Drosophila melanogaster: one gene and its partner. The gene in region 1 interacts genetically with each later gene. Each region holds a gene or a part of one and is shown on either strand. Other genes may lie near its edges. The genes, in order: Adf1 and stau.

Evidence for each region.
Region 2: of Adf1 (region 1) and stau, changing one suppresses a phenotype caused by changing the other (phenotypic suppression), as found in Drosophila melanogaster (one study listed by BioGRID).

Annotation. Positions count from the first base shown.
Region 1 is NT_033778.4:6,660,697-6,668,343, forward strand, and holds Adf1 (Adh transcription factor 1), read left to right. Parts: upstream 1-1,573; 5' UTR 1,574-1,751; coding exon 1,752-1,752; exon of another isoform or gene 1,753-1,872; coding exon 1,873-2,061; intron 2,062-2,698; exon of another isoform or gene 2,699-3,360; intron 3,361-3,453; exon of another isoform or gene 3,454-3,499; intron 3,500-6,023; coding exon 6,024-6,317; intron 6,318-6,376; coding exon 6,377-6,681; coding exon of another isoform or gene 6,682-6,744; 3' UTR 6,745-7,389; downstream 7,390-7,647. Other genes in the region: Dpit47 (DNA polymerase interacting tpr containing protein of 47kD), read right to left, coding at 1-545, 603-1,232; CG15908 (uncharacterized protein), read left to right, coding at 7,489-7,560, 7,613-7,647. UniProt on the Drosophila melanogaster protein: May play an important role not only in the regulation of Adh expression but also in the transcription of other genes.
Region 2 is NT_033778.4:18,122,691-18,127,775, reverse strand, and holds the start of stau (staufen), read left to right. Parts: upstream 1-1,996; 5' UTR 1,997-2,221; intron 2,222-2,848; 5' UTR 2,849-2,897; coding exon 2,898-3,082; intron 3,083-3,902; exon of another isoform or gene 3,903-4,031; intron 4,032-4,913; coding exon 4,914-5,085. Other genes in the region: Spn55B (serpin 55B), read right to left, coding at 479-1,336. UniProt on the Drosophila melanogaster protein: RNA-binding protein which forms ribonucleoprotein complexes (RNPs) that play critical roles in the localization, translational repression and turnover of RNAs during embryogenesis, neurotransmission and neurogenesis.

The DNA of each region.
Region 1 (7,647 bases):
GGTCGTCGCCGTTCGTTTATAAACTCCTGTTCCACTCGCGAATCCTTGTGCACCACATAGAAGAGCAGAGCGCCACCGGAAACGAAAAACCCCTTTTCGGCGATTATCTCGGCCAGCTGCTTCTCCTCGTCCACCTTGTGGACACAGCCCACCTTGCGGTTCTCGTAGTAAACGTGCACGTTACCCAGGCGGTAGTTGTGTGCCTTGTCGTATGGCAGCTTTTCGGTGAGCAGCGTCGCCAGGCAATCCCGCATGGTGGTGGTCTCCGGCAGCTGCTGATAAAAGTCGCTGTACAGGAACTCGGGGTAGGAGAACGCAGCCGGCCAGATCAGAGTGCTGCCGTCCTCGTCTAGGTGCACCGGATGGTCCTCCAAAGGCAGAAACTTTGGATAAAGGAGCTCCTCACTGAGGACGTCCTTTTTGCCAACTTTTTGATCGTCAAACTTAATGGCGCGCTGCTCGATGGCGTCGCGGAGTCTGTGGAAGCGTGTAAGCCGTCGCTTTGCCTCGGCAGCTTCCTTGCGCTGATTGCGTTCTATCTCGAGCTACGGAAATAACTTGTTTAATGTGGGTTCCTATCCAGTTGGATCACGTATTCTAACCTTCTTCATCTTGTTCTTGTGCAGCAGCGCGATGGCCACCTCGTTGTCGACGTCCACCTCGAGCAGCTCCTCGCACATCTGGGTGCACAGATCGAACCTCTCCAGCTCGTACGCACACTGTGCCGACCGCCAGCGGGCCTTTGTGTAGTCTGGCTTGTAGAACAGAGCTCGCTGGGCGTCGCTCAGCGAGGATCTGTAGTTCTTGATGAAGAAGTGAGCCGCCGAGCGGTTGTTGTAGAGAACGGCTAGCACGTCGGGATTGTCCGTCTTGGTCTTGATGCCCTCGGTAAAGCTGTAGATTGCCATGCGGAACTTCTTGTGCTTCATGTAAAAGTTGCCATCCTCCTTGTAGTTGAGCGCCAGCTCGTCGCGCGTGTTCTCCTCCGGATCGTACTTGAGCTTCTGCAGACCCTCGAACATCGGATGCACGTCATCCCCTGGCTGAGGAGCACGTTTCATGAAGAACGGGTGCTTGTCCATCTCCTCCTGCCAGCGGTCCTCCGGCCAGCCCTCCTCGTAACGTTTCTTCTCCAGGCCATCGATAAACGCATCCAGTTCCGCGTCCAGCTGGGCCGCCAGCTCCAGACGCTCCTCATCCGTCCAGGCTTTTTGTGCCGCCATTTGTTTCATTTGGTCTAATCAGAAACAGTGTGACCGCAGACGAACCGTTACAATATACCAACTGGCCAAAGGTGCCGCACATTTCCTAAAGGTGGCGCCTCTAAAATAAGGGTGGCCCTCCGTCTATCGATAGTCGTACGCTTCCTTCTTTAAACGAGCTAAACTCGGAACGAATTATGATCTTAACATCTTAAATCTTAACATGGTAAAACTTTAAGCCTTTTGACGCTTTACGCAGCTGTTGTGATATATCAGAAACATCGATAGTCGCCATAACATATTGTTATTGTATGAGAGTTTTAAAATTATCGATGCGCTGATGACCCCTTCATCGGCGTTTTCCCACCCCTAATTGGCAGAGACGCGACTGAGCTGGGACGTACCGTTACCGTTGGCAGAGACGCGACTGAGAAATAAAATTAAAACGTCGACGTTCCTTCCTCGTAGAAGAAACCAATCAAAATAAAAACAAACAGAGCGTGCGTTCGCGCCAAATACTTAACAACAATTAGCAAACGTAAGAAGCAAAGTGAGTGTCGTCGGCTGCGGGAGCCCGTGTGCCCAGTTTGGAACTGGGATCCGACCCAGTCCACGTCCGTCTCGTCCCCGCTAAATTTGTAACTCTTGTTTCCCCGTCTTGTCCCCTCAGTGCATACCCTCACGGCGGCCATTGAGATGGACAAGCTGGATGCCAATCTTGAGCAGCAGTTTGATCTCAATCTCATCGAGGCTGTCAAGCTGAACCCAGTGATATACGACAGGTCGCACTACAATTACAAGCACTTTGTGCGCAAGGCCCAGACCTGGAAACAAATCGCCGAAACGCTCGGTGTGCCTGGTAAGTGAAATTCGGCTGGTTTTGGCTACGGGTTTTCTGCTTTCTGTCAGCCGTCTTCGGTCCGTGCCCCAACCAGCCCCAGCCAATTGATTAATTCTGTGCGGGCGCAGGTCGAAGGGGCGGGACAAGTCAGTCGACGACGACGACAGAAAACGACGCAAAAGTGAACGGCGACGCGGCGCAGTAGCTGGCTGATGGTTAGGAAATGGCAGGGGGGGATCTATACGTGTGAGGGTGGGCGCGGGCTGCACCGCTCATAAATTGCATTTTATGCGAACTTTTTTTACTGCATTTATATGGTTGCATTTAGAATACAGTTCATTAGTAATTAAACCTAGGTTAATTTCTATCTGTAAAGATCTGCTCTAAAATGAGCGCCCCTTTCGGGCGCTCGGACTGCGGCCCTGCTTGCTCTGTCGGTGTGCAGACTGTGCTCAGTCGATATTTTTGAAGTTGCTGTACTTTGCCGTCGCGTCGCAGTAGTTGTCTCGCTCGCTCCGCAGCCATTCTGCTTGCGCCAGCGTTTATTTTCGTACACTGCGACTGCGATGTGCGCTGCTCACACACGTATACATGCATACAGCATACAGTGGCAGAAAACAGTTTGGCACGGGTTATAAATACGTATTTATTAGTAAAATAAATAAGTTGCTCAGTTCTTTAGACGAAACTATGGATTTTATTTTAATATTGAATAGGATGAGAATTCGGAAAATTAAAATATAGGGCTTTGGAAAGGTCAATAGATAAGCACAAATTAGAACAGCTGTGTCAACACTTCAGAGTCCCACTGTACATACCGGAGACCGACCAGGCAGCTTTCGTTTCGTTTTCATGAGTATACCAACAAAATGTACCGTTCACCCCACCCCCTCGACGGCCGTTGATCGAACCTTAAATTTTCGGCCAAATCGCTGCACCTCATCCGCTTTCGATTATGCAAGTAGGTGGCTGGAAAGCTGGAGTTGCAGTCAAGTGGAGCCAGCAGCAATGCCACAGGTTTCCGTCTCCTGGCAGCGGGCAGCGGGAGTCGGCGACGTCACAGCCACCGTCACGTCAACGTCTCTGCTGGCGCTGGGAAGCTGCTGTCCGCTGCCTTCCTTCTGCCACCGACGCTGCTGCTGCCAACGGTTTGTTTTGGTTCCCGATTTGATGCTTCTTTGGGTGGGTTTGATGGCATAGTTCTAGTTTCTGCACAGTTCCGGACTACACTAGTCCAGAGCTTCTTGAAGAACCTTCTGTGGAGAACCGCCACGCACAGCTGCGCAGGTGTGCTTGCACCGGTTGTTATGAACAGGTCTTCGAGAAAAAAGCATTTATTCAATGTAACAGAAACAAGATTTTAGTTTATATTAGATTTGTAATATTTTCAGAAACATTTCATTTACTTACGAATCTGGTTTCTTTTTTCTTTTCATTTATAGAGGTATACTTTATCAAGCATTTGACGGGTTACCCTATAAAATAAAATACATACAGTTTGTCAAGAAACTGTTTACACACTGTGAAATAAGTTGAATTTTTGACTTTAAAGCTAAAAATAAAGGGTTTTTTGCTTAATTAAACGCAATTTTTTTTATAAAATATAATTAAACAATATTTATTTTACTTATAAATCAAAAAACAAATTAAAAATATTAAATATACAAGAAAATAAACAACAAATTCCAAGTTTACACACTTTTGAGACTGTCAAGAAACTCTTTACACATTTTGTTTTCCTACTTTGTTTTGTTCTTTTTCTTAGAACGAACTCGATTTTTCCGTTATTTTTGGCTTTGCATTGCTTTTTACAACGCTTCTATTGAAATTTGTTGACTTTGCTTGTGAAATTTTGCTGATCAAACGTGCTTAAAGCGAATTATTAAATTTAATAAAATGCCTGGAAAGAGATTAACTTTTGAAGTTACCCAATTAATAAACTATAACCACCAGTTGGGAAAATCTTTTCCAGAATTAGTATAAATGTTTCCTGTATCCCGTAAGACCGTCTACAATGTTTTAAAAGGCTCGGAAAAAGAGGGCAGGCTTGAACCTAAGAGTGGTGGTGGGCGGAAAACCAAAATTAACAAGCGAGTAGACCGCCTTATCATGCGAAAAGTGATTGCGAACCCCTGAATCTCGGTCAGATCACTTGCTCAGGATATCAGGGAAGAATGTCACCTAACTGTGTCACACGAAACTGTGCGCCAAGTCATCCTACGCCATAGGTACTCTTCAAGAGTTGCAAGAAAAAAGCCTTTGCTATCAGAGATCAATATTGAAAAGCGTCATTCATTCCCTGTGAATGATGGATCATGCGGAAGAGTACTGGGATGACGTCATATTTTGTGACGAAACAAAAATGATGCTCTTTTATAACGACGGGCCAAGCAGAGTATGGCGCAAACCGTTGAGTGCGCTAGAAAAACAAAATATCATTCCAACGATAAAATTTGGAAAAATGTCACTGATGGTGTGGGGCTGTATCACCAGCCGTGGAGTGGGAAAACTAGCCTTAATTGAGAGCACAATAAATGCCGTGCAATATCTAGAAATGTTAGAAAACAAATTTGAAGGCCAGTGTAGAAAAAATTAGTCTGGTTAGCAACAACAAGCCAAATTTTAAGTTTTACCAGGACATGATCAGAAACATAAAGAGTGCAATGTACGCACCTGGCGCCTTAATAACTGTGGTAAAGTGATCTATACGCCCCCTCAGAGTCCTGATCTGAACCCCATTGAAAATTTGTGGACCTACTTAAAGAAGAAGGTGGCAAAAAGGGACCTAAAACACAACAACAGCTTATGACTGTAATAGTCGAAGAGTGTGAAAAGATCCCGTTTGAATATGACCTGCAAAAACTTGTCCAATCCATGAAAAAAAGGCTTCAACTTGTAGCTAAAGCCAATGGGGAACATACTACATACCAAAACTTTTAAAATTTTAATAAAATAATTAAAAAATTTAGGATTAAACTTCGATTTAGTGTTTTGTGTAAAGAGTTTCTTGACAGTCTCAAAAGTGTGTAAACTTGGAATTTGTTGTTTATTTTCTTGTATATTTAATATTTTTAATTTGTTTTTTGATTTATAAGTAAAATAAATATTGTTTAATTATATTTTATAAAAAAAATTGCGTTTAATTAAGCATAAAAAACCCTTTATTTTTAGCTTTAAAGTCAAAAATTAAACTTATTTTACAGTGTGTAAACAGTTTCTTGACAAACTGTACATTTATGTACGTATGATATGCTGATATATGTACATACATATGTACAGTGACGCACCTAATTATAGGCACAGTCTTTTTTTTTTTATTTATTTCTATCACTTCATTTATTTGGAGGATTTGCAGCTCACGAAGAATGTTGATAAATTTAACTTTTCGCACTAGGATCATAAGGAAGGCGAAGGTCGCCCGAAAATCCAATCAGTTCACATTGCAGCCTATTTTAAAACCAAGGGAGAAGGCAATAATAGTCAGATGCCCTTTTCTTCGCAAACGTTTTTTTCTTTAAGTGGTAGTTTAGGAAAGTGTATGATGAGTTTGAACATTGCATCTCGTTGCTAGAGTAAACAATCTATATTGAGTCAGCCAGCTCATCCGTTTAGCCGATGTAAAATATTGTTTAAGTTAGCTGATGGACTTTTGGAAACATGTGATACATATTTTCGGCTTACTAAAAACATTTTTTTTATTATTTTTTAAGTGAGTCATTAGAAAGGCAGTCAGTAATTTCTCAAAAAAATGTGACGCAAATTTCAGACGAAATATGAGCTTATGCGACCTTTTTAAAATCTACCAACCAAGCAATAAAATAGTAGATTGAGTTTTCAGAACTTAAGGCTTCTTTATTTTGGATCATACATATATTAAATGTGGGTTAATAGACAATGCATACATAAAGGCAACATTAGTTTAATAACTATTAAATATGGACATTTAATAATCATAAACCAACAACTCTTTTTCATTTTAGAACAAAAATGTACGAAGCGCTGGAAGAGTCTGCGCGACAAGTTCGCCCGCGAGATGAAACTATGTCAGGAATCGCGCTGGCGTTACTTCAAGCAGATGCAATTCCTGGTTGACTCCATCCGCCAGTATCGAGAGTCGCTGCTCGGCAAGTGCGCCAATGGGAGTCAAAGCGCCAACCAGGTGGCCGATCCGTCGCAGCAGCAGCAGGCGCAGCAACAGACCGTCGTGGATATATTTGCACAGCCCTTCAACGGCAGCGCCACAACCTCGGCCCAGGCACTGACCCATCCGCATGGTAGGTGAACCAGCATTTCAGCACCAGAGATCCCTGCTAAATACTTCGGTCTCTTGCAGAAATTACTGTCACCAGCGATGCACAGCTGGCCACTGCCGTGGGCAAGGACCAAAAGCCATACTTCTACGAGCCGCCGCTCAAGCGAGAGCGCAGTGAGGAGGAGCACAGCGACAACATGCTCAACACCATCAAGATTTTCCAAAACAACGTCTCGCAGGCGGTCAGCGCCGAGGACCAGTCGTTCGGCATGGTAGTCACGGACATGCTCAACACGCTGGGCGTGCGACAAAAGGCAGAGGCGAAGGTGCACATCATCAAGTATCTGACGGACATGCAGCTTCTGGCACAGCACAACAAGTACTAACTGTCGGGCGGCTGTCATCGGCAGCTGCTGCAGCTGCTCCAACTGGAGAGCGTTCTGCCCTGAGATCAAACGAGAACAGACCCACGGCTACCCACATCCACATCTACACGGGTTTGGGGGTCCTGTGCGGTCATTTTCTACAGTTCATAGGTCTTAAAGTCAAACTACAGAATAACATTAGACGTAACATCCCACAGCGTAAACCATAACGCGTAATGATACTTCCCCACGCCCATGTAGACAAACATATATATTTATATGCTTAGTTGACCCCATGATCGGTGATTTAATTCGCGCCCAGTTCTCAGCTCTGTACAAAAAATGCGATTGAAAATAGCGATTCTAGAATTATGAGTAGCTTGTTAAAAGACCGTGGAAACACTTTATATGCAGCGTATTGTAAATTTTGACTACGATTTAGTTGTAATTTGCCATCGGGTCTTAGCTCTAAAACTAAGTATACACGTAAAAGTTATTTTAATTTTATAAGTTCTGTTGTAATATGCCGAAAACGCTTGAAAGACACTTTGAAATGCTTAATTAAGTGTGACAAAGGGAAACATAAAACACCTTTTTCATAGTGATCGCATATTACACACTTTACATGGATACGAGTAAAATCGAAATAGTTGCCGGCAACGCCAGTTGCTAAACATTTTTAATGATTAATTGTGCAATTATTTGGTATTAAATGAAACATTTGAAAGTAACCGACTAGTTTCAATCGGGGTGATATGGCAACGCCGCGAGCCAGCGGCATAAACAAAATCAGCTGTGCGGGCTAATGATTGATTTTATGTAATTGAAATGGCCACAAAATCGGATAATGCTGACTCAAAATCGGACAAATCAAAGGAATCACTAGATGACGCATGGGCAGTAAGTATCCAGCTACGTTAACAGATCCGAGACTCAGGAATCCCCTTTACAGATCCGACCCTGTCATCTGTACAAGGAGGAGTACGA
Region 2 (5,085 bases), about 11 Mb from region 1:
AGGTGCTTGGAAAGGTGTGTCACATCCGACTGCAGCTAAAATTCCATCATTTTTTTTTAGGATCGTGCGGCTGATACATGATCTTGAGTTCGAGCCACTAGCTGCCACCGCAATACCACAACAGCTCATTTTGGTTATCTAAGACATTTCTACCCTACCGTCGATAAGCTACTAAAAATAATACATATGTACATCAATAGACGGAATTTTAGAGATAAGTGGGCAATAAATATTTTTGTGGGCGGTTTGCAGCACTGCAACGTGTCCATAAAATTGAATTCTGGATTTTATGGAGAAATTTATTGAGCTACTGCTATTAATAACTCCAAACTTCACCTTAAGCACGCAACATCAAATGGAGGTCAAGGAACTGTGTTATATAAAAACAAAAGCTGACCCCAAATGGAGCTTAATTGTGGCATAAATTGGGTGGAACAATCAACCCCCCCCACCCCCAAAAAAAAAAAATAATATGTACCTGCTTCAGTTTCTCGGCCAATTCCAGGGAGTAGTCCACCTTAAACTTGGGGAACTTGACATGGACCTCTTCCACGGTCAACTTGTCGGCCAAATCCACCAGGTTCACAGTCTTGAGCTTCTCGGCTAGGGCGTAAATACCTGTCCGCTCCTGCGGCAGCAGCACGAACATGGAGAGGTCAGAGTCCTGGTAGGGCATCTCCAGGGCAGTGCAGCCCAGATCTTCGAAGAAGCCATAGTTGAACTTGGCCTTCTGGTTCATGTAGTTGATTTTAACCTGCTCCTCCTCGCCCACCCAGAAGATATCCTCCTCGGTGCGCTCCTCGCTGAACTTGTGCGCCCAGCTGCCCTTGAAGTGGAGGGCATTGAGCAGGACCAGCCTGGTGTTGTCCGAGAACGAGTCCGCGCTGACCAGCTCCGTAATCTTGCCCTGAGTCTTGGCATTCACCCAGGCATTGATGGCCTGGGCGGCGGCATCGTTGAGCGCAAAGTTAATGGACTCCGCCTCCGAATGATACTGCTCCTTGATGGCCGACTGGTAGGCGGGCTTCAGCTGCTTGCCCTCCTGCACGTACAGCTTGTTGGCAACGCGCAGCAGGTTACTGTTGCGGTACTTCTCCAGCACAAACTGGAACGTTTGGGCCACCTCCGGCGGAAAGTTGGAGACGAAGTGCAGTGCCTTGGCGATCTCGTCGGCGGTTTCACCCTGCGATCCGGCAAAGGCCAGGGCAATGCAAGTTTGGATGGAGAAGGGCGAGAAGACGACGTTCTCCTTGAGCCCGCCAGCGCTCAAAAGCTGAAAAAGTTCGCTGGTGAAACGGGCACCTCCACGCGCAAATTCCAAATTGAAATCGAACATATTGACGGACTGAACTGAGTAATTGTGGGTGTGCTGCGTAATCGCGGAACTGCGTGTGCTTGCTCTCTGGTCTGCTGTCTACACCGGAATGCCTTAAATGCCATTCGGGGCCACAACAAAAGTGAAAACATCGGCCAGCCGGCGAATGAGTCACAGCCAAAATATTATCAAAACAATCGAAGCGAATTGGTGGCGTCATCATTTTCATGATCTAGCAACCTTGGGGGCATCCCCGGGTTCATCCCAAAAATAAAAGTAATAGGGCGTTCTTTAAATAGCCACTGTTTTTCAGTTTTTGTTTGTCTGATGATAAAATTCTTAAAAATATGTTTTTATTTTTAATATTATTTTGCAGTGTGACCTTAAGCATTGGCGCCTAAAAACGCTGGCTTTCTGTCCAACAAATACTAAAATACACTTGAACAGGAAAACGCATGCTGTTGTTTGTTGTTTGTAATTCAATCAATAAGCCTGTTAGTTAAATATTTCGTAATTACAGATTTAAATAATTTCGAATTAATATTTATGCCCTTTTTAAAGTTATCAATTTCGATAGGCATAAAATACCAGATCGACTATTGTGCAGCCCTGGCGCTTCTGCGCGCGCGCTTTCCAACACCGCCGTACGCAACCACCCCGCTTCCCGCTCGCCTAAAAGCCATTATTTTTCGAGTTTCATCCGCAGCCACAGTGCAAAATAGGTTTATCAATTTAATTTAAGTGTTAAAGTAGTTCTAAAGTGTTTTTTAAGTTGCGCAAACGATCGAGGCCAGCCCGCATGAATGGATGTGCATGTGTCCATCGATCGAACGGAGTATTTGCATTCAGTTGTTGTGATTTTCCCGTGACCATTGCGTACGAAAATCGTTTTGGGAGCGCAAGAAGGTGAGTTGCGTCTGCAGATCGTTATGCCACTCTCGTTTCGGATGCGGACTGGGAATCGGAATGGGGTTACGGAACGGAATGGAAGGGAAGGGAACAGAATCCATGGATGTGTGGATCTGGGTCTAGGTCTTGTTCTTGGTCTTGGTTTGGGTCTGGGTCCTTGAACCCCTGCACGGAATGCACGAAACCTGAATTGCGCACTGCAGCTGCATTTTATCCGATTTCACCAAGAACACACAGAGGCATAAGGCAACCGGAGGGCCGTAAGAACCAGAAAAGTGCAACCAGGAGTGGTTGCTTGGCATCGGCAACGAATCAGTCGATTTGAACCCTTCTACCCGCCGCCTGTCACAATTTGATTTAGGCCGATGTCGTCGCTTCAGTTGCATTTCTATGTATATATATATATATATACGCATATATGTATGCACACACATATGTATGTATGTATATAGGTAGATACGTGTGCACCATGTCCATTTGCATTTCGCATTTATATGCCCCGCATGCAGTTGCAACTTGTTTACGCACAATCGCCGCACAAAGAAACACCTCCAGGGCCCTTTGTGCGGACAGGGAAAACATTGTTTGTGTCCGTCTCATCCATGTTCCTTTTCCTCCTTGCAGCTGCGGTCGCTGGTTCATACGGGAGTCCTAAAGGTTACAGCTCAAGAAAATGCAGCACAACGTTCATGCCGCCCGGCCAGCGCCCCACATCCGAGCTGCGCACCATCACAGCCACAGCCATGCCCACATGCATCTGCATCCCGGCATGGAGCAGCACCTGGGCCCCAGTCTTCAGCAGCAACAGCAGCCGCCACCGCCGCCCCAGCAGCCTCCACATCGCGACCTCCACGCACGGTAAGCCATCTATGTCGTTGACGCTATCAGGAATAACAATTAAACCAGATAATGCTTCATCCTTCAGTCAAATAAGAGTAGTATCAGTTTATTAAATTGTGATACCTTTTGGAGTTCGGTTCCAATTTAGCAGTTCTAACTATGTTTGGAGTTAAACAAGATGGTACGCCTTGTTGGTTCAGTTTGTTTTCGGAAATGGTTATCATCCCCTTCATTCAATCGAAACTCCATGTAAACAAGAAGGGGTAACATGGGTTAAATAGGTTTTCCAAGTCTAGAAGAATTCCCATCTATCTATGTACAGGAAGGAACTTTTAGATAGGTGTGTTATTAATATGGGATAACATCTTATAGAGTTTCCTAATCTAGATCGAGATCTCAGTATAAATTGTTTAGGCAATAATGTACCACTAGCCACTGGTTGGATCTCATGGACTCAGTGTGAATCTCAGGTGAGGAAAATGTATCTCCCTGGCTTGGTTGGATCCTAGAGAGATTCCACATCGACTCGAAACGCCAGCTTGTCTGAGCTTTATGCGTTGCGGCAATTATGTTAATTCCTGTCACTGACAATTGGTGTGAGACTCATCATCCCATTTTCTCAACTCATAAATTATAATTTCAGTGGCTCTTTGTTCTTTCGCGCTCAGCATGACTTCCGCTCGATGATAACGGGTTTGCCCTGCCGACTGCGCTGCAATTATCCTTGACGTTCGCGAGTATCCTTCGGCTCGGCCTCCAGTAGTTCAGGCTCCTCGTATTGTCTACGATCATATGTTTCGCCAAACTCTCTGCAAACTGCTCATCCAGTTCCGCATTCAGTTGCGTTTTGCCTGCCGGTCGGATCGGGTCGCACATGAATTTATTACCGACGTTCGCTGATTCTAACGTACATTTGCGTACGATCTTTTAACGATCATGATAGACTTTCATCAGTGCCAAGTGAGAGGTGAAATATGCAAGAAGATTAAAGTTATAGAAACTGAAGCGGGATCTAATAAGTTCGCAAGACAATAAATTAAAGAACTCGTAAAGATAAGAGATGAGATTTTGCAAATGAAATCAAATCCTCTTAACCATATAACTTGCAAGTGAAAGGTACGAAAGGAATAAACTTCAGATATTACTACAGATTTGTATTAGCCTGAAATATGGATTATCACATTGCTCAGACTTGTTTTCAAAAAAGAGTGTCCATAAACATTAAGAGCATTCAATTAATTACCTTTCCCTTACGCAGGACATTTTTATCGCATATCAACTGATCCTAATCACAAATTGCCCATATCAATGTTAATTTGAAGGCTTGTTTCCGTACTGATTTAGCGATTATAAATTGCCAAAAATATTTCCTTGTCTTGTGAAATGTACGAGGCTGTAGGTAAAGGTCGCTAGAGTGCTCTCCTACCCTCGATCATTGGGAAAGGAAAGGTAGGGAGCGGTTGCAGGAGCAGGGTGTCGCAGTAGGTGCGTCTCAATTGAAACTGACAGTTGGCGAAAAATGACACGATGCGTAAGAGAATGCGGCTTTTGTGCTTTGTTAGGATTTTGTCCATTGTTCGGCGTGGTCGCTGTTGTCTGCTATTCCGCAGGAACAACAACATACGGCAGAGGGTTGGGGGGGGCCACGAAGCTTCTAGGACCTCTCTCGTTGGTGTTTTTGTTTTTCCCGTGCGCCAGTCGATGTACACTTTTGTCTCGATGGCCTCTATAATCCTCTTGGTGTGCATTGTTTGCTGATATAACCGCAGAAGCCAGCGCATCCGCCCCAGGAGCTCTTACTTGTGGCCATCGATTAACCAATTTGCTTGCTCTATCCTCCGTTTTGCAGTCTGAATCATCACCATCTCCACGCTCAGCAGCAGCAGCAGCAACAGACGTCGTCGAACCAAGCCGGCGCCGTCGCTGCGGCTGGGGCTGCCTATCACCACGGCAACATCAACAGCAACAGCGGCAGCAACATCTCCAGCAACAGCAACCAGATGCAGAAGATCCGCCAACAG